Linked DNA regions of Rhinolophus ferrumequinum. The protein of the gene in region 1 binds, or shares a complex with, the protein of each later gene. Links are inferred from orthologs where the notes say so. Each region holds a gene or a part of one and is shown in the gene's direction. Other genes may lie near its edges.

Region 1 (12,634 bases):
GGGGGGGGGGGGAGACAGAAGAAAGGGGGAGGAAAAAAAGATTCAAGTTCCACTGAGTTCCAGAAAATGAAAAGCTTTGTATTGCTGAGACACAACCCAAATCCTGAAGTCAGCCCCACTGCCCTACCTTCCCAGTCCCAGCTCCCATCCCACTCATTTGGGCTATTTTTTTTTTCTTTTTTCCTAGTATTTTAAAAAACTGTTTAATTTCCATCATACTTATTTCCATTTTGTTTAAGGGTGTGTGCAAAAGCAGCTTAAGACCACTTGGTGGTTATTCCTACCGTTCAGTGGCCTGAGCAGTGGGGGCTGCAGACCAGTCTTCAGGGGCGGGCTGAGCACTCGGTCTTCAGTGGGAAAATGCTGAATGGGCACAGAGGGCACCTGCACACCTCAGACCAGTGTGCGACCTCAGAATGAGCTGGAGCAGTTCATTCACCCGGAAGTTCCTCCTTGGTCACAGATTTTTCAGCAGCAGCCTGCTCTTCCTTTTCAATCTCTTCAGGATCTCTGTAGAAGTAGAGATCAGGCATGATCCCCCATGGGTGGTCACGGGAGATGATGCCACACATGTACAGAACTTCTGGGGCCAGCACCCACCACATCAGACCCACTGAGTGAGTTCCTCGTTGTTGCAAGGGATGGGAATGACCACATAGCACAGAGGAGAGTCTATTACACAGAGCAATGGTAGGCAGGTTAACATGAGACGCCTCTGTGAGAGGCTGGTGGTCAGCCCTGGGATCAGTAGCCACCAGAAGTCGCAGCCCCCAAAAAGCTACTTCAATCTGATTAGTGAAATTTTCAGTGAAATGGCCGGCAATAGGAGTGGCTCCAGTGGCAGCAGCAAGCTTCAGCACAGCCCTCTGGTCAGTATTCCTGGAGGAAATGACACTGACCTCAGTAAGGTTTTCAATGGCAAAAGCTGCCAAAAGAAGTTTCTCGCAGGTTCTCTTCAGATTTATGATGCAAATATCGCTTTTCCTTCCGTAGAAGTTCTGTTCCATTTGGAAGTCAAGTTTGGTGCCACCTAAGTGGGTTCCTGCTGGAAGAAATTTGAGGACATCGTCTTCCTTCTTTTGCAGGACATCAAGGGCTCCAGATATTGTGAAAGTTTCTCTTTAAGTTATGTTGGGAACTCAGAATAACGCAGGATGGACCACTCTGGGTAGCACAGAAAGGCTTGATTTTCCTGGTATTAAATGGTTGCCTTTCTGTTGAAAACTTTTTTGGTTTTCTGTATAACTGTGCAACTATTTTAATTATCAAATTCTCATCAATATTTTTTTCCACATCTCAAACATACTCTTAGATTTCACTTTTCCTATTAAAACTTCTTTCCATGAGCCTTTAGTCTGATTTTTATAGCCTGGTAGTTTTCAGGGTAGATTGATAAGCTGGCAAACCACATTTTTTGTTCTTGGACCCCCAAATCCAACATATAGGTTTTCTCTGGGATCATTCGGTTTCTCCAAAAAAGAATACTCCAATATCTAGTGTAGGAGGCATAAGTTTGGCTGATAGAATTTCAAGAACAGAGTTGTGGAAAAATTGGGGGACAAGGAGTCACTATTCAGCAAACATATTTTTACTTAATTTGCTTCCTGCCAGCATTGTGCTTCACTTCCACTTTCCAAAGTACCCTATACCTCCAAGTTCTGAGCCTCTCCTCCTTAAGTCAATGACCTTCTATCTTGCAAAGCTACAACCACCTTGTAGGTTTATAACTTTATTCCTTTGTTTCATTTCAATGGGTATTTTGGAAAGGTGATGAGTACATGTGGTCAGTTCACCATGCTTTTCTAGACTATTTTTCTTAAACTCATTTAACTCAAGAATTAGATCCTTGCAGATCTCATTTTCTTAATCATTTCTTTTTGCAACTCACTCCTTCCTTCTGAGTTCCATTTCCCTCTTACTGAGGTATATCCTTCAGAGTCTAGGTGTGTGAGTAAAAAACTCTCCATTTTTGTCACTTTCTTTAACAGTTTAAGGTGAATGTCCTTCTAATCATTTCCCCAATCAAGAACCAGAATTTTGTCAGCCACAACGGAAACCTATCTGTGCTCCATCACAATCACAAATCCCTCCCTCCTAACACAGTAATCACCATCCTGACTTTGATAGTTATCACTTTTTTGTATTTTTTAAGTATATCCCCAGACATTATGATTTAGTCTTACTTTTTAATTTTTTTTCTTTTTCTTACAATTCATTTATTGAAGAACTCAGCTGTTTGACTTCTAGGGTTCCACACTGTCAGCATTTGGCAGATTGCACACGTATGGTATATTTCAATATGCTTCTTTGTCCTCTATCTCCTTTAAATTGGCAGTTGGATCCAGAGATTGATCAGACTCAGGTTTGATCCCTTTGGTAAGATTACATATTATTATGAATTCGTGTATTTAAACATATTTAATGGGTTTCAGTCCGTTCTAATTATTATCCTTATTGAAACTCAAATTGTCTCATTTTTGGCCACTGGGAGCCTCTTCAAGTTGTATCCTAGGTCCTTTGGAAATGACCCTAGAAGTCTTTAATAGTTCCTGTGCTCTCTAGGATGACAAAATATTTCATGCTCATTCTATACATTTCCTGTCCCAGACCTAGATTCACCCATTTCTCCAAGAAGTCCTTGTTTCTTTTAGTGGGACTTGGTATTTCAAGACCACAGTCCAGGTGCTAAGGATGATTATTGCTACTGAAAAGACCCAGGAAATAAGATATATGTATATATATATATATATATATATATATATATATATATATATATATATCTGATATATATAAACTGAGAGAGAGAGAGAGAGAGAGAGAGAGAACTAATGATAATTACTCATTTTACCCATATTACACACACGTTCTCAAAATAATACTAATACTACCACCATGAATATACTGAAAAACTTAATTTATGCTGATGTCCTCCCCATACTCTCCTCTAGTTTTATAGTAATTTTGTATCAATATTTCAGAATATAAATCCATTTCAGAGTATGTTCTCTTTCAATCCTGTGTTAGATGTCAATTTATTGACTCTCAGCTCCAAATCTTTGCTCACTCTGCAATAATGAAGCAGAACTCTGTAAATACTTCTCCCATCCCTGCCAGTTTGTCATTAGGCTTTCTTAACAGAAGGTGCTCGCGTGGGGGAAGGTGGTACCACTGGAGAAGGTGGTACCACTGGAGAAGGAGGCTACTCTCTCTCTCTTTTTTTTTTTTAATTGGGGAAGGGGAACAGGACTTTATTGGGGAACAGTGTATACTTCCAGGACTTTTTTCCAAGTCAAGTTGTTGTCCTTTCAATCTTAGTTGTGGAGGGTGCCATTCAGCTTCAAGTTGTCCTTTCAGTCTTAGTTGTGGAGGGCGCAGGTCAGCTCCAGGTTCAGTTGCTGTTGCTAGTTGCAGGGGGCACAGCCCACCATCCCTTGAAGGACTCGAGGAGTTGAACCGGCAACCTTGTGGTTGAAAGCCCACTGGCCCATGTGGGAATCGAACTGGCAGCCTTTGGAATTAGGAGCATGGAGCTCTAACCGCCTGAGCCAAGGGTCCAGCCTGAGGCTTCTCTTTCTGCGTGGGCTCCTGCAGACTGCATGGCTCCTTTCAGCAGTGCCCAGTGGCCAGCAACAAGCAGCAATTTCCCATGGCAGCTTCCCCCAGTTGTTTCTTGGATGGCTTCATATTGTGCTACTGGCAAAGCACCTTCTTGCAAGCGGCTTCTCTGGGCACTTTGCAGTAAATTCTGAGATAAAGGCACCTCCTTATGGCTATCTTCTCCCAGCACTCCACAGAGAGGATTTCTAATGAACCCCACTGAGGTCACACCTCAGTGAACTTCTTTGGCCACCAGTGAGCCACAGTCATGCCCTTTCCAGCAATGAGGGGCCGGGTGGAGGTGGGAGTGCTCTTTCTTGTCCACTCTATTTCAGCCCTAGGAGTGGTGGCTGCTCCCTATATCTACTATTCCTATATGGTAGGATTTCTCTTTGCCTCTTACTAGCTAACTCTCCTTTACTCCAATTCCATTAACAAGTCTTTATAGTAAATGTTCTCTGTTCAAACTACTGTGTAATTTTCCTCTCTTAACGGGACTCTGACCGAAACAAACCTTCATTTAGTTTTGTTCCAAATGTAATTAAATATTTAATATTTAACTGTCCTTCTGTCATTGTCTGTCAGTGATTTTGGTCACTAAGCTTCATTCTCTAGTAGATTCCTCAGGAGAAACTTGAGTGAATAACATTGAGTTCTTTCATTTTATAACTAATGTTTATGTTTGTATACTCGAAAGTCAGTTTTGCTGTATACAATGTCTTTGGTTCTCATTTTCTTTCTTTGAATATTTTAAATGTTTCACCATTTTCTTCTTGCATGAAGTGTTAATGCTTAAGTCTTATGATAATCCAATTTCTTTCTCTCATAAATTACTTTCTTTTTTGTCTAAGTGACCGCTTTTCAAAATGCAAAGTCTAGTAATTTTACTAGAATACAATTTGTTGTTCATTTTCAATATTTTCAGATATACAGTATGCTCTTTCAATATGAGGTTTCAATATGAGGTTATATATATGAATATACATATGAAATATATAAATATGTGTATATATATGTATACATATGGGAATACATATATGAGAGAGAAAAAGAGAGAGAGATCTATATATCTCTATATACATATATATATAGAATATTTCTATTTCGGGAAATGTTCTCTTGAATTATAATGTGTTATATTTGTTCTGTTAGCGGGATTGGTTTTATCAGAGACTCTTTATCTATATATTGGATCTTCTTTGCCCACTTTCAATATTTGTCATTTGTCTCAAGTCATTTCTATGTCTCTCTATATTTCTTTTTAACTAAAGAAAATCTCATTTTCAAATTCTAGTTCTCCTTGGGCTCTACCTATTGTGTTTGTTTACTACTGTTTCTTCTCATTCAGTATTCTTCTCTGAAATCATTTTTTATTTCTAATTCTTTCCCAAGTTCTGTGATTTCATTTCTGAGTTTTTCTTATTCTGAATTTTCTGCTTCATGTCTTATATCATTTTATTAATATCTTTCCAGTTTTGATATGATTTTTTCAACACTGACACTACAAGTCTTGCATCTGTGGTTTGACCCCACCCTCTTGTATTTGGGGTTCGTGAGGTTATCTGTCATCTACTGTTGTAAATGTTGTTCCATGCATTTTTGGTTTCTTTAGCTACTCTGTTGTTACGTGGGGATTCATGGAGATTCAAAATTCATGTACTGCCATCTTTCCAGAATCCATTTATGTTTTTGACTCATGAATACTCTTTACATCCCGGAGATTTCAATCCTTAGCTGAGTGTGATGGGAAGAGGCTAGGGTTAATCAGTATGTTATTTGGATTGGCAGTGGTGCATTATACTACATCCTCATTGAGTGATGATTCACTTGGTTATAACATTCTAGGTTAATAGTGTCTCCACAGTACTACATATATTCCAATATCTTCAGCATACATTTTTATTTTTGCAAATTTGGCTTCCAGTCTAAATGTCATTGCTTTGTAGGTAGGTTATGTTTTAACGGCTCCTATTAAGATCATTAATTCTTTCTCTTTATTTACATTCATCATGATGTATGTTATTTTCTCAAGACTTGATGTGCTTCTTCAATCTAAAGAGTCCTCTTTCTTCAAGTCTAGAAAATTATTGGCCATTATTTCTCTGAACTTTGTCTCTCTTCTCTCTTTTGAAATGCCTATAGATGCCTATTGTTGAACCTTCTTATAGAAGGTAGAACCTCTAAACTTGGTTACATATGGCAAAAAAATTTTTTCTTGCTTAAGCCAGTTAGAATTAAGTGTTTCATCACTGAGACGGAAATACTCTTACTTTTCTCTAAGGCAAGGTCAGAGAAAGAGAAGTGATCCCTGAAGCTATCATTTGATTATATGTAACCAGATATCCTTGAAACCTAAACTAGTCCTGCACTTTTTAGTTATGCAAGTCAATAAATTCACTTACTTTTATCTCCCTTACATCAGTTGCAATCAGATTTCTGACAATTGCAACCAAGAGTACTGATTAATCTAAATGTCTACTATGTGGGTGGCACTGTGCCAGATGCAATATAATCAAGTGTTATTCAAAACAAAGTCCATGTCTCCAATAAGAACAGTATTTCACACTCATTCACGCCAGCTTCATTTCTTTCTTCCTGCTTCTCCGGCCTCCGCCACCCAAACTTGGAATACTTGTTTGTTTAAACATTACAACTTTTTACCAGTTGATTTTTAAAATTTTTTAAATAATTTTTTAATTGGGTAATATTGGGGAACAGTGTGTTTTTCCAGGACCCATCAGCTCCAAGTCAAGTCTTTTTTTTTTTTTTTTTTTTTTTTTTTTTTTTTTCAATCTAGTTGTGGAGGGTGCAGCTCACTGGCCCATGTGGGAATCGAACCTGAGACCTTGGTGCTATGAGCACTGTGCTCTAACCCACTGAGCCAACAGGCCTGCCTCCCAGTTGATTTTAAAACCAAATTTGTAAGGGTAACCTTTCTAGCTATAGGCCACTGTGACCTTTCCCTTATTTTGGATTTATATTATACTCCTATTGGCTTAAATAGGTCTTCAAGTGTTTCATCAAAGTATTTCCCTTTAACCAAATCATTAGTTTTTTTAAGGGCTAAAGTTACACGTTTTACATCTCCCAGAGCAAAGTCAATAAAGATGCAACCTTATTGCATCCTTATTAACAAGTATTCATACGGTACATACTTGGCCTCTGTAGGTCTTCTGTATGGTACTGGGGATACATATTCCTGTCACTTAATCAAAGACATAGGAAAGTATATTAAAATATAAATCTATAAGAAGCCATATGTAGTTCAGAAGAAGGGGAAATCATGCCTGGGCTTGGGTACACAGAAAAGGCTCCAAAGCCCTGGGAGATGAACGAGACTTGCCTTAACACAAAATAAAGGAAAAGGCACCAAAGGTTGAGACGCTGGGTTTGAGGAAAGGCAGTTTTGCTGGAGAAGTAGGCTTGTGTCTACAGCAGTGGAACGATTTTATGGACACAGGTCTTAGTTCTAAAATTAGGACAGTCTAGCTTGCAAATCAGCATAGTCCCTCCTCCTCTCTTACAATGAAAATCTGCAGCTGAACCATACTCTCTTATGTCCCTGTTTAGTTTGGTTACTTTCTTAACCTCTTAAGGGGATATGTCTTGTATCACCTTCTTGAGTACAAATGGCCAAGGACTAGTTAATTATAATGAACGCAGTCGGAAATAAGCAACAAGCCCTGTGCCCAGATTGCAAAACAATCGCGGCTCTGTAATGGAAAAGGTGGCGCTGACTCCTGGAACCTTTCTAGGAAATCCTCTTCCACCTTTAGCCTTTCTCCTGGTACAGCCTGAGTCCATATCCCTGGGATTATCTGGAGAAGCCTCCGGCCTTAAACTGCATTAAAACCAGGTGAGGACTGGGTAGACCGTGACGGTCTGGGCCCAACAATCTACAATCCAAGGACTTCGAGCAGACTGGCGAGCAGTCACCCAGGCGATGCCCGGGCGCACAGCCCCCTTCCCCCAGCCTGCCCCCTCACGTCCCACTTCTCCCCTGCCCGCCCTCGCTTCACTTACCCCCCCCCCGCCACGCCCCGCTCCGCTCCGCCTAGCCCCGCGAGGCGGGGCTTCCGCTTCCGGTGGTGGATTGTTGACGCCTGTGGCTGCTGCGGTGGCGACGGGGCCGTTGGGGAGGGGCCAGTGAGGGTGGTAGACGGTGCAGTGACGAGACAGCAGAGTGGGGCTGAGACGACGATGGCAGAGGGGCCGGATGAGGCCCGAGGCCGCCCTCCCGGGCAGGGCGACGGTGGAGGGGACCAAGAGCCCGTCGCTTCTCTGACAGGCCCTCCTGCCGCCGCCCCGCATCCCTGGGACGAGCCGCAGGCCGAACCACAGTCCCCGGACCGGCCCCCAGCCGCGGGCCTCGCCTCCACCACGGCCGCCGCCGAGGAGTCGGAGCCACAGCGCGAGCCTGTGAAGCGCGGGGACGCGATATCCAGCTCCGGGGCAGGGCTGCCCGAGCCGGCGGGCTGCGAGTCGCCGGAGGCCGCGGCGCCGCGGGACAAACCCGCGCGGCTGAGCGCCCGCGAGTACTCCCGGCAGGTGCACGAGTGGTTGTGGCAGTCTTACTGCGGCTACCTCACCTGGCACAGCGGCCTGGCCGCCTTCCCAGCTTACTGTGGCCCCCAGCCATCCCCGCTCAGCTACCCCTCAGGCGGCGGCACCAACGCCCCCCAGACGGCGGCGCCGTCGCCCCTCCAGCTGGGCTATTACAACCCCTTTTACTTCCTGAGCGCCGCGGCCGCGGGACCTGACCCAGGAGCGACTCCAGGCATCTCCACCCCTGCTCCAGTCACGGGCCTGGGACCCCGGGCTCCTCACGTGCAGGGATCCGTCCGGGCAACCCCAGTGACGAGGGTAGGATCCGCCGCCCCTTCGCGAACCCCAAGCGAGAACGGGCGCCAGGCAGGTGAGAAGCGGGATCGGGAGGTGGGGCGGAGCAGAAGGGTCTTCGGGGAACAACTACCTGGATCGGGTAGAACAGGCACGCTTTTTTACGCGTGTGGCTGCTGCCGCTGCCGCTGTTCGGACTGGTGTGTCTCCGTGTGCTTCAGCTATGGTTTGCCCAGGCCTTAAATTCTCAAGTGTATACAGAAAGGCTATGCAGTTTCTTCTTCCTTTAGACCTGGCATTCCGAATTGATTCCCGTTCTCCTCAGAGTAATCATTTCTGCATGTAAAGAAATCTCTGCCCTTCAAACCATCCTCATGATTTCCACGCTTCCAAATGGCAAACCTACATGGTGGGGTAGGGGGGAGGATGGTTGACTGGTAATGCTGGAAATAATCCAGACGTGGATTTATTATATATTATCTACATATTGTAGGATATATAATATAGATAACATAGAATATAATTATATATTACATTAGGGACAGTGAAACTGATGGATATTTACATGAATACAAATGGAGTTTTGAACTTTTGACTGGACCGTGGTTGAATTATCCTTGTATGTTGTCTGTTTACTTCTCTATGGGAATTAGAATATTTTGCATTACTTTTTATTATTTAGAATTTTTGTTTATTCAGCCACAGATGTGGGGAACAAGAATTAGTTGTTTCTGAATTTGATCCCATTCAGAATGTAGGATGACAGATTTATTAAATAGAAAGCAAGAGAAACTAAACAGGAGGTAAAATGAGTAATGGGCATATACTTTGTACTGATTGTCTATACTTAACCTTGATTTTTACTAAAAAACGTTTAATTTTGTGTCACAGGCTCTTGATCACCTGGTTTCTCATTTGAGTCCCTAGTGAAATGCATTGAGTACCTTAATTAAATTTACCATTGAAATTGTTTTTTAAACATTAAGGTGAAAGCCAACTTTAAACTCTTTGTAAATAGTGTAGTATATTTTAATAACATGTACTGTTGGTAGAGTCAATGCCAGTGATTGTTGCAAGATTATAAATTTTTTTATTAGCACCTTGTACCTTGACTTTACATTCCCTATTAATTTACTTAGCTTGGGTTCTCAGGCCTATATGAAATGATTAGTGTTCCTAACCTTTTTTTTTTTTTTAATTTACAGGCAGAGAGTATGTTATTCCATCCTTGGTCCACAGATTTATGGCAGAGATGGTGGATTTCTTTATCCTCTTTTTTATCAAAGCAACCATTGTCTTAAGCATTATGCATCTCAGTGGAATAAAGTAAGTAAAGGCCATTTGCAGAGAGGTTTTAATGTCTACTGTCTACATATCTTGTGTTTCGTTCTCTTTATGCCTGCAAGTTTCTATATGAATAATTGATGGCCAGTCTCATGATTTCTTTATAGGAGCTTTATCAGATTTTTTTTTCTTGTTGGTTTTAAGAAATAACTACAAAAGAGAAAAATCTTAATAAATTCTGCAGAATCTGTAGGAGTCTCACCTATTAAAAATAGGTAAAAGGAGCCTCCAAACCTATTTTGATTTTTTTCAACTATTAAGCCAGGAATTCACTTCCCTCTTGCTAGGAATAAAGAGCTTTTGGTAGATGAACTATTAATAATCAGCTAGATGGCATTTCCAAATGGGATTACTTATATTATCAAGGAAGTCCCAAATGAACTGCAAAGTGACCCATTTATTTGAATAATCCTTTCAGATTAATAATCATAATAGCAATTGTCACTTGCTAAGTACTTTCTACATGCTAGGCATTGAGCTCACCTCTTTATATGGATTCATCACTATGAGCTGTAGAAGTTAGTACCTCCATTTTACAGAGATTGAAATTTGGATTTACAAGAAATTAAGCCCAGAATTTACGAATTTACAAAGGTAATAAGTGAAATACAAGATAGAGAGTCAAGATACAAACCATTGTAGTCAAATTTCAGGGCCCTTGCCAGGAACCAGTGTTCCTGTGATCCTTTTCTGTCCTCCTTTTCCTACCCCTACATTTCCAATCCAGTACCAATTTCTTTCTGTTGAAAATGGTGTATAGCCTTCAACCCAGACCATTTCCTCTTCACTGTCAGATCATTTTTCATCATCGTTTCTCCTTAGTCCAACTACTGTCATCTCTTGCCTGGATTATAGCAAAACTCTTCTAACTGGTATTTCAGTCTCCTGTCTTATCTCAGTCCAGTCTCTGATATAAAACTAGAGATCATAAATTGACTCTGCTCCTCTCCTGCCTTAAATTCCTTCAGTGGTTTCTTATTGCTATCAGGATAGTCTTGTCTTCATGAGGTTGAACAGATGCCTCTATTTCTTAATCATGGTCACCTGTCATATTTAATATTTGAGCCATACCAAACTGCTTACAGCTTTCATCGTCCTCTTTCTCGTTAGTCCTCCAAGGCTTTCTCTTGTTAGTCCCTCTCTGAAACTTCTCCCTTAACTAGTCTGGCCAACTTCTCTTCATCCTTTAAATCTAAGCTTAAATATCATTTTTGGGAAGACTTCACAAGTTAAATGTACCTGGTGTGTGTTTGCGTAGTACACTATGGTTTCCTGTCACATACCCCAGTCTCTTATTTCATATCCCACTTTATTATTGTTCTGCTTTCCCTGATTAGTTATAATCTCCATAAAAGCAGAGACCATGTTGAATTCACTCACCATTATATCTCATTGTATCTATCTCCAGGGCTCTAGAACAGTGCTTGCTTATGATAGTGCTACTTATGATAGCATAAGCTGGTGAATGTTTTGTGAAATTAGATGGTTGGAAACCTAAAGATTAGTTTAGAATTTCAATTAAAGTTATGACTTAACTAATGGAAAAAAAAAATCAATGCAACTGCTCTGATAACTAATTCTTTATAACCCCAAACTATTCTTTTGTGTAGGGATATCTCTAAGTTTGCTATGCATTATATAATAGAAGAAATAGATGAAGATACATCAATGGAAGACTTGCAAAAAATGATGGTTGTGGCTCTTATATACAGATTATTAGTTTGTTTCTATGAGGTAAGCTACTGACTTCAGCAAATATTAATATTTAATTATCTAATTTTAGATTATCAGCCCAAGATAAAAAAGTTAACAGAAATTTATTTTTCAAATATTTGTCAGATGTCTGTTTTACTAGTTTTTTCCAAATTTTCTTTAATTAACAATACTTTTCAAGTTAAAAAAAAACTTTCCAAGTTGAGATATGTTATAATTTCTTTGTAATATATTTCAGTCTTGTCCAAAAATATACTTGTAAATTGGTTGTGGAACTTGAAATGTATTTTTCCATAGAAACAACTTGCTAAAAAATATAATGGGTCATAGAGAAATATTACAGTAGACATTTGGTGGTGTTAGAGACTTGCAGAAATGCATTAAACGATTAACCTTTGAATATTCTGTAAAATTCTTTCAACTTGAAATGTTTAAAACCTGAATAATATGGCAGGAAAACTTACCTTTAAAATTGGCATAGTTGAGCTAGTAAGTTATTTCTAAATTATCCTCTTTCTTTAGATAATTTGCATTTGGGGAGCAGGCGGAGCTACCCCAGGGAAGTTCCTGCTGGGGCTTCGAGTTGTGACGTGTGATACATCAGTGCTTATTGCACCAAGTCGGGTTTTAGTAATTCCTTCCTCAAATGTTAGCATCACAACGTAAGTTCTTCTTAGCTTAATCCACTATGTACTTAAGAAAATAATAAATTTTAAGCATAGTAATCAATATAATTCATGTTATATACCATTTGACATTGTATTTTTAGAATGTTGGTATTTTTTCATGGCATATAGTGAATAGGCTTACATTCATTAAGTTTAAAATAAAGTTTATGAGTGTTTTTCAATTATTATGATTGTAGACCCCTTTCCAGTATACATTTTCAAGAGAATGACTATGAAGTATGAGTCACGATAATGAGTGATTTGGGTGTTGATGCTATCTACGTCCGTGCTCCATGCCTGGCTTTACTAATTCTCTAGATCTGTGGATATGGGTCAGTTCCTGATCTGCTGTGAGCCTCCATTTGGTAGTACCTGTCATTATCCCGTCTTGAATAGGCAATAAGGGTTTTAATAACTATGCATGCATGCATCCTGCCCTCTCCTCCCCCCCCCCCCCCCCCCCAGTGATGCAG
Region 2 (13,223 bases), on another chromosome or scaffold:
CAGAGCAATTAAGACCTCAGTTTCTTCCATGCTAACCCTCACCATCACTATGGAGAATCCCATTCCTACAAGATGTTTGTTTGCTTCCAGCTTCCATTAATGTCTAAGTCCCTCAGCTGCTGCCTAATTCTCTCTGCGTCCGTTCCACCTGCATCAACTATAATAGATAACAGCAGGACTCAGGACTTCTCCCAGACCTCTCTGTAAGGTGGTCCTGGTAATAGGCTTTCATTTCCCCTCCATGGAAGCTGCCAGTAAAGGGACTGACTGGGAGAGACCAGTCCTATATGGCTCTCCACCTCAGTGGGAGAGGAAGGAACTCAGGTTTATAACGTGCAAGAAATGGTGCTACCAGTTCATGTCCTACTGTTTCAGGTCAGTGTTTCCCAAAATTACTTGATCTTAAGAATCATCTAGGGAGCTTAAAAATGCAAATTCCTGTCTCTACCCCAGCCTTCTTAAATCAGAATTTCTGGGCAGAGGTTTGGGAATCTGTATTTAGATAAGCACCCTAGGTAATTCTTATAATTTTGGAGACATTGTTTGGACTGTAGTTGTTAAAAGGGATGGGGAAGGCAGGTGATGGGGGTCTAGGATTGGAGGCAGGTGGTGGGGGACTAGGATTGGAGTCACCTAGGGGAGCTTTCATCATTCCTCCACTTCTGCGTGGGCGCACACACACGCACGCGCGTGCTGCAAGTGTTAGTGTCTCCAAAATAATTATGTAGCTTTTAAAATCTACATTATTTAATCTACAATTTTATGGATGTAAATTAAATAATTAAAAGTCTATTAGAATCATTTATTAAATTAGATATTTAAATACTTATTCACATTTAATATCACAAATTATACAAAAATTGTTTTCTCTCACTCAAATAATTTTATTCAAATTCTTCACAGACATCTTCTACAGCAGGGTCTTTAGCATCATTGGGACAACATTTTGAATCATCTAACAGTTTGTTTCTAGTTATTTAAGATAGAATATGTTTTAAATTGAGTAGGATGCTGTCTATGGAGATTTTACTGAGTCTCAAGAACCATTTGTTAAACATTACGACAGGATTTTTCCCCCACTTGCATGTTCAGTCTCCAGAATTAAGTATTTCTTATACTCTTCTTTTTACAAAGTCAACTAATAGTGATTTCCAATGCTTGTTCTCCAAGGTCATACGTTCAGGAAAAATTAATAAATATGTCTTCACTTTTCCCCCCGATTTTGTTCAGTGACCCTTATAAGATAGAAAAAAAAAAACTGCCACTGCTTGAAGTCCTTTCAAGACATATTGTTGTCCTGAAAAGTATTTTTTGTTCAAAAAGGAAAGTAAAGACAAAAATATAAGACAACTCTCTTTTCTGAAGAATGATGTATTTGGGAAAAGTTTGCTCTCTATTCTGGAATGTATGGCATATATTCCCATTTAAGAACATCTGACCTAAACCCAACTTCAACTTCTGGGGAAGTCAGACTGGCTCAGCTGTTTTCTCACAAAATACTGGAAGGCAGATGGAGTGTGGCATTACCTGCACTTTTTGGTTATTTTGTGCTAAAAGGATATATTGCAGGGAAGTCCAGGACTGCTTTTTAGAAGTTGATGAGTTGGTTATCATTCAAAGTTTGCCTATAATTGTAAAGTGGATTTAATGGGAAACAGAATAGTGTTGTTTGTCCTAAAGACGTTAATAATATTGCCGAAATGCCCTGTGGCTGCAGAATTACTACAGGAAGTTCCATAATTCACATGTGCTCTGCGCATTATCTGTAGACTGAAGAATGTTTCACATCTCTATGAACTATTATTTTTTTTGGAACTTTGTGGATGCTCTAGTGGTAAATAAAATACAAATTTGTTTAAAAGTATTGAACTCATAGTAATTTTTTGTCCTTTTGCACTTTCCTTTGCAATGAATACAAACTGAAGCTACTTTGAGGGTAAGGAAATTCTAAGCTATTTAGGCTAGTTTGTAGGTGACTAACTTTGATCAGTCAGCAAAGTGGCCAAAAGGGGTCCAGAGAATGACAAATTGAAGTGACAGGATATGGGGACACAAGAAAAAAGGCACAGAGTGGCAGGACAGTGCCCTGAAGAGCTCTTAAGGCACCGGGACTCAGCAGGAGGGAAGGAGAAGACAGAGCTGTGTCAGCGCTAGCTGATGGCACATCATGAAATACCTATTCTTTCACCCATGAACAGCAGTTTCATCTTAGTTGCAGGTGTTTCCTTTAGAGCTAAATTTAGAAATAGAAATACCTCTTGTTAAACTCATCAGTTCATCAGAACTAAAGAGTAAGGAATATGAGTGGGGGATTGTCACTTTGTGAGGGGTGTAAATGTCTAACTATTACATTGTTTTGTACACCTGAAACTAATTTTTAAAAAAAACAGTAAGGAATATATGAGTATTGTAATTTTTGTGGCTAATTTTAAATCACCTTTATTACAAAAAAAAAAAAAAAGTAATTCATACAAATACAGCAAAAACACAATATCAAAGTAGGTTTCTTTTTCCTCATCCCTAATAGCAGGAGCTGCGAGTTTGGGGGAGATGTCAGATAATTCAAAGCTATGGTAGCAGCTTGGATCTCCAAGAAAAGGTGTAATTTTTAAGAAAGCCACAGTAAAAATGATTTTAATAATATTGCAAACAGCTATTTACAACTGCATTTATAAAATGCTTCTTTGCTTATTAATGGGAAAAAGCTTTTAAAATGATGTACAAGTCATCTGGTAAAAGACACCTACCTACTACTAAAACTAGGATTGTAAGCACTCCACTGGGTTTCAAATATACTCATTTGATATCTCTCCATAATATTTTCTTCTGGAATACAGTATTAGAAAAGTGTTAAAATAGAATGAGCAGGAAGACATATCTTGAAAATAGAAACTGAGAAGGAAAAAATGAAATCAGTTTCTCTACTGGATCCCTCAGCCAGCCACCAGGTGGTAGGCACAAGCATAGCATTAGAGCTGCAGTGCAGTGAGGTGGGGCACAAAACAACTCCTTTCTGACTTTTTTGTTAAAATAACCAGAGTTGGAACTTGTGTTGCTGATAATGAACAACATCTAACATTAATATCAGCTACATTCCTACGGGAAAATTAGTCCCATTTTTCTTAACTACTCCAAAGGGGGAAATTCTGGGGGAAAACAATAGGAAAAACTATGGCAGATGTTCTTTTTTTAAATAATGATAATAATAATAATAAACTATTATAAAATATTCAAAGGAATTAATAAAATGTTTACACTAGAGACCACCTATGTCTTTTCAAGCTCTTTTTCATTTTAAATCATACTTTAGGAAGACATTGATGTAAAATTAGTCAGTTTATGCTATCTATCTGGTAATAGCACTGCTACTTGCAAAACAAGCAATCCAAGGTGTACAGAGATTGCCAAAGTGGACTCATTTATGTTAGGGGAATTAGCATGGAGCTGGGAGACCATGAAGAAGTTTGCCTTACACGGTTCTCCATAACCTTTTGAGCTTCTCAGCCATGGACTTCTTTCTCACCATGACAAACTGATCATTTACATTCTTTACTTTGAAAGAAGCTAACCGCTTTGCCAACCAGCATTCTTTGTTTGCATGTTAAACTCAACCAATCCCAGTTAACCTACCCAGAATCCTTTATTTACATAAAGAGGGCCAGATTGAGAACAGTACATGTAACCTGAGCCTTTATTAAAACTGCATTTCTTTGTTTTTCCTTTAGCTTAGACCTCTTTATTGTTTTACACTAGTTAGCTGATGGCAGATATTTTTAGTATAAAAAAGTACATACAATGGAATTTCAACTCTATTCATATACCTGTACTTTATAAATAAAGGCTCAAGCAAGGTAAATACACTACAATGTTCATCATGGCCATTTTTTTAAATGCTAAAGAATAAATATCTTAAAGTGTGTGGTCCAAGAATAGCTCTGATTCTAAGAAGCATATCCCTGCTTTCAAATGGTGGGGGGAAAGGCCTTGTATGACACAGCCTGATTCTGCGTTAGCACGGTGAAAACAATCTAGGTTTCAGAGTTGGAAGATCCAGATCTGAATCAGTGTTTTTCTACTTTTAGATGAGTAGCCTTGAATATGTCAATGATATTCTTCAGAACCTCTGTAAAATGAATTTCAAAGTATTCAAATCAAGACATAAATGAGGACCTAGAAAAATTTCCTTTTATCAGTATGATAAAAATGATATACCAAAAAAGATAAGAACTTTTAATGTAATTGTAAACTGAGTATTTAAGTAAATTGTTTTTTCTGAGACCTCAATTGTCTTCATCTGTAAAGAGGATATAAATAATGAGGACTTATAAGACCTTTAATATCATAACTTATGGCCCCAAATTTGGAGATTTGCAGCTTGAATTCTGAAGTTGCTTAGAAGGCATTGAAACCGGAGGGCAACCGAGTCCGGGGTTTTATGCTGCCTTCGCTGCTCAGGCAATAGACCGACACAGGAGTTGGGCCATAGAATAAGCGTTTATTTTCAGAGCACCGGTGGTCTGGGAAGGCAGCAGGTTAACACCTTCAAAAATTGCCTTAACATTCTCAGACTGACTTGGGTATTTAAGGGAAAATCGGGGCGTTCGTCTAAAGGCTATGTGAGGGTTGGGATGGGGTCTGCATGGAGCCTTCCCTCTGGCAACGTGATGCTCGATTCTGCAGTGGTGTCAGCAACCCAGAAAGGATGATGTCTGGAAAGAATGATGCTAGACCATTGAGACTGTGAGCAATAAGCCTAAGGATATTAATCATAAGTTTCAGGGTAATTTTCTAAAACGGGGAACTGGGTGGGACGGGACATTCTGAGCTCAAGCCGCAAAGAGATGATTTATTGTTAAGCTATAGGTAGGTGAAGGAAGGTGAGGCCAGGGACGTGGACAGGCCTCTACTACTGGGGTCCCAACAGGGCCCTGCTTCAGCATAACTTTGCCCTTTTGGGGCTCCGAAACCACCTGTAGAGCAAGAAGCTCCCATGTAGTGATTGTGTTGTTTGAAAAATGGTACCCCCTGTGCGGTTCCTAAGCAACACCCCCTGTCCTGGACCTATTGACCCAAAGTCTTTGTCCTGTAAGCCTGAACTAGGACTTTGATAAATGCTTAATCACGTTACCCATTGTTCTTATCATTAAAAGTTCAGTTGCCCCCACCAATCAGAAAATGAATGATGTTTAAGTTTATAACCTTGTTTCCCTAGCAACCCTTTTTTTCAAAACCCTGTTTTCCTCTGCCCCAATGTGTCTTTGGTTCACATGTTCTCTGATATACAATTCATATATGAGTAAAACTCTCTTTTAATTTCTTTGGGAACTTTCGTTAACAATAATCTGTGCTGCTGACAAGGCTGTTGTGAAGAATAAGTGAGTTGATGTATGTGTGGAGGAGAAAGAAATTTTCCTCTACTTTCAAGGTTCTTTTGGCTGGTCTAATAATCAAATCGATTAGCAAGAGAAAATAACTAAATTTAATACATACATGGTAGGGGAACCCCACATACCTGAGAGACCCCATACGAACTTGCCACTGTGCACTTACATTGGCAGCACTGTACAAACAGCCTGGTAAGATTTCATAACCTTGGTATATCAGTGTCTCACAGCTGTGTTCATATCGACGTGTGGTGGTGTCTTGCTGAGTGGTGTTCGTTACTATTGTTGCGTGTTTTTGTGTGCTGTCACAAGAATGTCTGAGTTGGAAATAGAGCAATGAACAAACATTAAATTTCTTGTTAAATTTGGCAAGAGTGGAAGTGAAATCAGGGGTGTTAGTCCAAGTTAATGGAATAACGCCATGAAGAAAACGGCAGTGCACAAATGGATTACAAATGGATTAAATGTTATTCTGAGGGAAGAGAATGTGTCACTGATGAAGAGAGGTCAGGGCGGCCAGTAATGAGCAGAATTGACAAAAACAGTTGTCAAATTGTGCGTCAAAATCCTCGGCTGACTGAGAGAAGCTTAGCAGACCAAGTAAGAATCGATAAACAGAAAAATCTTAACTGAAAATGTTGGCATGAGAAATGTGTGTGTAAAAATGGTTCCAAATGATGAACAAAAAGCAAAGGAGAGTCGAAGTTTGCCAAGACCTTTTGGAGAGGCAGGACAATGTTTTGGGCTGTGTTATCACTGGTGATGAAAAATGGGTGTACTGCCAATACGACCCTGAAACAAAGCATCAAAGTCAGCCAATGGAAGTCAGCCAATGATAGATGACCAAAATAGTTCTGTCAGTCCAAACCAAGAGTCAAAACCATGTTGCTAACCTTTTTTGATATCAGAAGTATTATTCATTATGAATTTGTATCAACTGGACAAATAGTTAACCAAGTTTACTATTTGGAAGTGCTGAAAAGGCTACGTGAAAAAGTTAAGACGAAAAACGATCTGAACTTTTCGCCAACAGTTCTTGGCTCTGGCATCGCGACAATGCACCAGCTCACACAGCACTATCTGTGAGGGAGTTTTTAGCTAGTAAACAAATCACTATTGGAACACCCTCCCTGCTCACCTGATCTGGCCCCCAATGACTTCTTTCTTTACCTGAAGATAAAGGAAATACTGAAAGGAAGACATTTTGATGACATTCAGGACATCAAGGGTAATGTGACGACAGCTCTGATGGCCATTCCAGGAAAAGAGTTCCAAAATTGCTTTGAAGGGTGGACTAGGCACTGGCATCAGTGCATAGCTTCCCAAGGGGAGTACTTCAAAGTTGACCGTAGTGATATTCAGCAATGACATATGTGGCACTTTTTCTAAGATGAGTTGCTAAATTTAATTGTCCCACCTCATAGAGTCAACTTTCTCTTCCAAGTACACAGAAGGAGATATAAAAATACTTCCTTTACAAATGTAAATTTCCCTTACAAAAGGGTAACTTCTGTTTTCAAAGATTCTCCTCTCCTGTGCCTTGTTTCTCAAAATAATCCTTGTGCCAAAGAGGCATATTTTGGGGGTGGCATGTTCTGCTACCCTTCAAAACCAAAGTTGTCTATCTTTATATAACAAAATAAAACGTGCCCAACCAACCTGATTAACTGTCTTCATCCCGCCTAGTTTTCCTTCCTTCTTCAATCTCCCCACCATTCCAATTCCTCTCTCCTTTTCCTAAATCCTTGTTCCTCTTTTAAAACTTCAGAACCCATAGACCCCTTTTCCACGATCCCACTCTTTCCACAATGAACCATGAAGTGTGTCCTTTGAGATTCAACCTTTCATATTTGTATGCTTTTCCCCCAATTCAATGTAATTTCTTAGTTTCATTTTTTGACAAGTTTCAAAATTTTTTAAATTCCTTACAATACTTAAACGTGTCTGGCACCTAAATACATTATCTGAAAAAAAAAATGTTATTAAAATCCGACTCAATTTCCCTTATCACCGGAATTTCCTTTCACTACTTAACTGTTTCCACCCCAAACTACTGAATCTAAAAAAAGCATTTCGCAGACACCTAGGGGCAGCTCGCAGGTAGCCGGGCTACAGGACAGTTTTGCAGCGGGAGCCCCGGGCTACCGCCTGACCTCTCGAGGGCTGGGGTCTGGGACCACACCCGCAGCAGGTAGGGTCAGGTCCGCTTCCAGCCACGCCGTTCCTCAGTAACAGCCGCGAGCGCCTGGGGACCCCGGATGGGCCCGGCGGAAGATCGGCGAGCGGGCTTCGTGGGGCCACGGCGGCAGCAGAGTGACCGCAGGCTGCGCTGACCCACCGCCACGAAGCGACTGCCACGTCAGACCAACTTCACAAAACCTGGGCGAGGGCGGTGACGCAGGCCCGGCGGCCTGGCGGGGTTGGGCCGGGGGCCAATAGAGAAGGCTGACCTCGAGCCCCGCCGCCCCCTTCAGCGACGCCCCGGCCGGCGCCGGCGCCTGCCAGGCCCTCAGGGAGGCGGGGGAACAGCGGAAAAGGCGGCGCCATCGCGAAGCCCGCGCCTCGCCCGCACCCTCACCACCTGGTCCACAGTCCGGCCCAGGGCTGGGCGGCGTCTGCGGAAGCTCCCTCTGCCTGGCGCAATCGCCCCGAACCGCTCTGAGACCGGGGCACCAGCGGCGTGGAGAGGAGACGGCGGCGGGTAGGGCGGCCGGAGCCGGGACAGCGACCAGCCATGGAGACGCGCTACAACCTGAAGAGTCCGGGTGAGCAGGGCTGGAGGCGGTGGGCAGCACTGTCGGAGTGGACTGGAGTGACCCTGGACTCCGGGGCCCGGCGCTGCGGTCCCCTCGCGTCCGCCGCGACTCGCGGCTCCATTCCCGGTGTCGCGCTCTACGCGAGACCGCCGCCTGCAGGGCTGGTGCAGGCCGCAGGGCACGGCGGCCGGGCGGGCACAGTCGGCTGAGTCTGGGGACTGGCCAGCGCTCCGCAGCACCCGGACTCTCCTTTCCCTCATCTGCGTCGCGTAAGCTGGGTTATAAACGCATCCCTAAGAACAGGTGCAAAGGTGATGATGTCCGTGAGTAATAGTTAACAGCCCCTGGCCGGACTGCATCCTGAACACCGTCGTTATCCCTTCTCCGAAGCTGCCACTGGACTCCTTAGCTGCTTGACTCACCCGCATTTGAGGATTTAGTTGCTTAAATATCCCATTTGCAGCATTTGGAGCTAATAGAATTACAGACATAAATGAAATGTTCTGTACTAAACCGGTTAGCCAGAGAGCTAAGGAAACTAGTTGAGTCGTGTACTTTAGAGCTAACCTGATTTTTTGTCATACTGACTAATCTGATTATATATATATTATATATATTATGTATATATTGTATATTATATACATAATATATATATATATGTGTGTGTTTGTATGTATGTGTGTGTGGGTGTGTATATATATGTGTATATATATATACACATATATATACATATATATATATATTTAGTCATTGAAACTTCTTTTCCTGTATTTAATGTCCCTGTTTCATTCACAGAAGCAGCCCAAACAATCCTAGCCTCAAATTCTTTTCTAGTGCATTATAAAGATGCAGGAAAAGTAATCAGCTCTCAGATTAAGGCAGGCTTGAAATGAATCATTGTGTTCTATAAATGGTATTTATTCTATCTGTACCTTGATAAATTTGTCAGGAGGGAGAAACTCCACAGTTTCGTTCTAAATGATAATCCTAAAATATTAGAGATGGTTTGACCAACTCTTGCTGCTTATTATTTTTTTCTTCCAAAAAAGCAGCTTCTCAGTAGGAATCTTTCCTTATGGAAAGAGTTCACATTGTGAATCTTTGATTTTTTTAAATACTTAAGAATATGCAAAGACTCCAGAAGAGCCTGAGGATATTGATTGAACAGAGTTTGTTAACTTGAGTGCTGTCAGGCTAAGAAATGTTAAGTGAACAAGTATGTAGAATTGGTCATAAAATTTGAGGGGGCCATAAATTCCTGTAAGAATCTGCTAAAGGCTATGATCTATTTAAAAAAACATTTATACAATTCAATTTCAGTGGGTTCACAACTTTCCCCCTCTAGCCGATCTCTTAAGAATGCCAGGGGGAAAAATTAAAGCGAAAGAGAGAAGGAAAAACTTAACTTTAAGGTTAGATGGTAGAATGGTTAAATTATTTAGATTGTGGTAGATTTAAATAAAACGGGGAGGAGGGTAAAAATGTATGGTGACTTCTTGGTCACTTGGTACCAAGTTCCTTAGGATACCTGAGATAATGCAAATGTAAATGCACTATCCAGAGATAATGCAAATGTAATAGTACAATTTAGAGTGGAGATTGTCAGGACATTCCTGAATTTTACAGGTTATAATACCTGAGATTGTGATAAACGTTTAATATTCTCCAGAATTTTGTACGTTTCTGAAGTATATGACCTGCAGGCAGGCTGAGTTTTGGTCAACATGCTTCTAGCTGTAATAAATTGCTTCCTCTTTTTGGTTTCAGTTCCTCAAAGGTGGTGTTACTGTTCTAAAACAGAATTTTTAAAAAATCTTTTTTTGTTTTTGTGTGGATCATTTTGAGTTCATGGAGAAGGTGAATTAAATGTGATTTGGGACTTATTGAAAAGCTAGGAGGCATAGTGAAAATGCTTCCTTACTTTGTTTTGTTGTTCAGTCCTGTGATATTTTGGGAGTAATGTATATGTAAAAGGAAGTAGTTAAAAACACTGCACACTGTAAGATAAGAGATACAATCCTTTTTCTCTCTGTCTCATGTGGAGTTGCCTTAGAAGTATGGATGGGACAATTAAGACAATACAGGTAACTGGTTAAGGGTCATTGTGCTAACATGTGGATAATATATACGGATAACAAAAGACGAATACAAATCACATTTGACTTTTGCAATTACAAGAGGTGCTCAAAGTGGTTACCATCTGCTTCCAGACACTTCTGATTATGGCGAACTACTGCTTGAGCAACGTTGACCAAAGTGTCCACTTGTATACATTTTTTTGGCACCGCCGATATAATCAGTCACTATTGTCACCAGGTCAATTAAAACAAAACAAAGCATGATTAAATCACTCCTTAAATTGAGATGTCTTCAGTAGCTTCCTCATGGCTGTGGATAAAGTTCAAAGTAAATAAACCGTTCAGCTTGGCCTACTGGGCTGCTCTTGATTTGATCCTTGCCTTCCCCGTCAGCCTCACCTTCTACCACTCCTATGCTCCTTTGCATTTTCACCAACTGTCCATTCTTCATCCACTGGGGAGCCTGAGTGACCCCCCAGATGGAGCTCTTCTCACCTTTATGTCTTGGTCCCTGTTGGGACCTCTGCTTTGAATGCCTTCCCTTTAAGGCAGCTGAAATTCCTATTAACTCTTCAAGCTTCTTTAAGGCTCAGTCTTGTTCAACTTCTGCAGGCAGGCTAACGTAGTCCCTATATTTGTATATACTTGGTCATTGTATTGTGATTGTTCTCATGTCTTTCTCACTGTGCGTATTTTGAAGGCAAGAAGCAGGTTTTGGTCATTCTTCTATCTCCATTGCTCAGATATTCTCTGAATGTTTTTTGAATGGATGGGTCTTTATGGGCAGAAACATTAGTCTTTAAACATTTGCTTAAGTACCTTTACTAATGGAGCGTGACATTGGGTTCAGGTGCTCCATATACCTGCCTCCTGCATTTTACCCATGCTTTGGAGATTGATGATATCAAGATATTTGCTTTCCAAAAGAAATATATCCATGAGAGACCGTCACGTGTGAAAGATCCCCGTGGCTGGAGCTCTGTCTCCAAACCCCAGTGTACGAGCCCAGTGAGCTAGTAGCCTGGACATGTGAAGAATGCTAATGCCTAGGTCTATAGAACCTAGAGCTTGGACCCAGAGAGATCACGTGGCCTCCATGAAAAGGAAGAACAAGAGCAGGCATGCAGGAGCTCCCCACCCCCTTCCCTGGCACGTTTTATCTCACTGTGGTAGGAGAATTCCATTAAATAACCTTGCAAAGAGATAAGAGAGGAGCTGACAGGGGAAAACGTTTTCTCTCTAGCCGTGTGGTAGCAAGAGATGGCACATCAGCAGTGGCAGACCATGATCTTGCTCTAGTTGCCAGTCAGTACTTTGAATCTTGACTATCCCATAGCAGTGGTATTTCTCCTCGGGATCCAGGGAAGCCATGCCATATGGCCAACTACATATGCTCAAGGCCTGATTTTGAATCAGGGAGAATCACTGAGAGGGCCTTATATCCCAATCCATTTCTGACCCTAATAACTTGTGACTAGGGGAAGAGGAAGAGTTGAAAAGGAAAGGAGAATTAATGTGAAGAAATTATTGACTTCCATTTGACAGACATAAACATTGAGGCAGAATAAGATTAAGTGACTAGTTCAAGGATTTAGGCCTAAGGAATCAGAGCTAGCATTTTATTGCAGCTCTAATCCTAGAGTCCATGTTCGTTTACACTAAGGCATTCGTGATGTATATTATTCCAGAAAAATAAAAAATAGATTATGAAGACATTAGACTAATCTCACCTTCTGTTTGGTTATGTGGCTTTAGTTCTCACATGTGTGTGACCTGTGTGACCTATGAACTAATAAAATCAACATTTTTAGTTGTTGAACCAATGATTGTTCCTTTAAATTGTTTCTTGTAGCATTTCTGACCCTTTCCTATATCTCTCATAATATCCAGGTGCTATTGGGTGTTTATTTTTTCTCTTCTATTGAACTGAGCTGAGTGAAGAGGCAGAGAAAATGTGATAAGGGTATGGAACGACAAAATCTGACCTCTTCGGCTTAGTCATTATTCAGCTAGGAATGAGGACGGAAGGAAAAACAATCTCCTTGGCATCTTTGATTGCTGATAGCAGCCAAACTAATTAACTTCCTAATAGCTTTCATGATTTTACTTATATCTAATAATACATTAATTTAAAAGAATGATATTTTTATATGCTTTCTTATTCCATGGGCCCCTCAGCTAGAATAGGTGGAAATAGCCTGAAAGCCCTTCCATGTTCGCTTCTTCAACCAAAACAGCTATTACTTGTTTTACATATTGAGGTGCTCACTTTTTCTTTGAACAAAGGATTTTCTCTTATTGTCAAATAAGTTGGAAAACCACTGCCTTTAATCAGATGCTTGAAAAGAGATTTGTTGAGGGAATATAGTAAAATTCAATTCAACTAATATTTGAGTGCTTACTACGTGCAGGAGACTGCAGTGTAGTAGGTTGTTGAGCAGGAAAGACGTGTTAAGTAATTACAAGTGAGATGAACTGTGTAACTGCTAAGAGACAGTCTTATGAGGGATTATAGTAAGGAAACTCAAGCTAGTATCTAGGGCAGTGGCTTCCAAACCTAACTGAGCATTGTAATAACTTCTAGAGCATTCCTGGTCTCCCCTCCCCTCCCAGAATTCCTCAGGGATTTTTATCTGTCCAGATGGGAATCTCTAGGCACTCCTCTGAGGGTGGACAAGGGAAGGTGTCAGGAACACCTTCCTGAGGAAGTTACTTAAAGGTCTGGTGGGAGCCAGCAGATAATACAGTGGGGGTGGGAGCAGCATTGCAAGCCGAGGAACCAGTTTGTAGGAAGAAGGTCTGGAGTAGAGAGAAGCGGAATGTGTTCAAGAATTGAATAAAGCCTAATGTCTAGAGCTTGAGGTGGAGAGTGTCTCAACATGTAAATGTTTCCAATATAGCATCTATCATGCTGTTTTGTATTGACTTTCTCCCCCCCAAGACTGTAACCTTCTTGATAACCAAAACTATATTTTATCTTGGTTGTAACTAGTATGAGCATCTAG

The links.
Region 2: FAM8A1 (region 1) and UBE2J1 share a complex: the UniProt entries of both Homo sapiens proteins name them as parts of the HRD1 complex. The link is inferred for Rhinolophus ferrumequinum from reciprocal best matches to the Homo sapiens genes FAM8A1 and UBE2J1.

Annotation. Positions count from the first base shown.
Region 1 is NC_046292.1:77,364,270-77,376,903, reverse strand, and holds the start of FAM8A1 (protein FAM8A1), read left to right. Parts: upstream 1-7,750; 5' UTR 7,751-7,797; coding exon 7,798-8,512; intron 8,513-9,641; coding exon 9,642-9,762; intron 9,763-11,390; coding exon 11,391-11,514; intron 11,515-12,015; coding exon 12,016-12,155; intron 12,156-12,634. UniProt on the Homo sapiens protein: Plays a role in the assembly of the HRD1 complex, a complex involved in the ubiquitin-proteasome-dependent process of ER-associated degradation (ERAD).
Region 2 is NC_046286.1:46,024,034-46,037,256, reverse strand, and holds the start of UBE2J1 (ubiquitin-conjugating enzyme E2 J1), read left to right. Parts: upstream 1-7,473; 5' UTR 7,474-8,118; coding exon 8,119-8,149; intron 8,150-13,223. UniProt on the Homo sapiens protein: Catalyzes the covalent attachment of ubiquitin to other proteins. Functions in the selective degradation of misfolded membrane proteins from the endoplasmic reticulum (ERAD) and is essential for cells to recover from ER stress.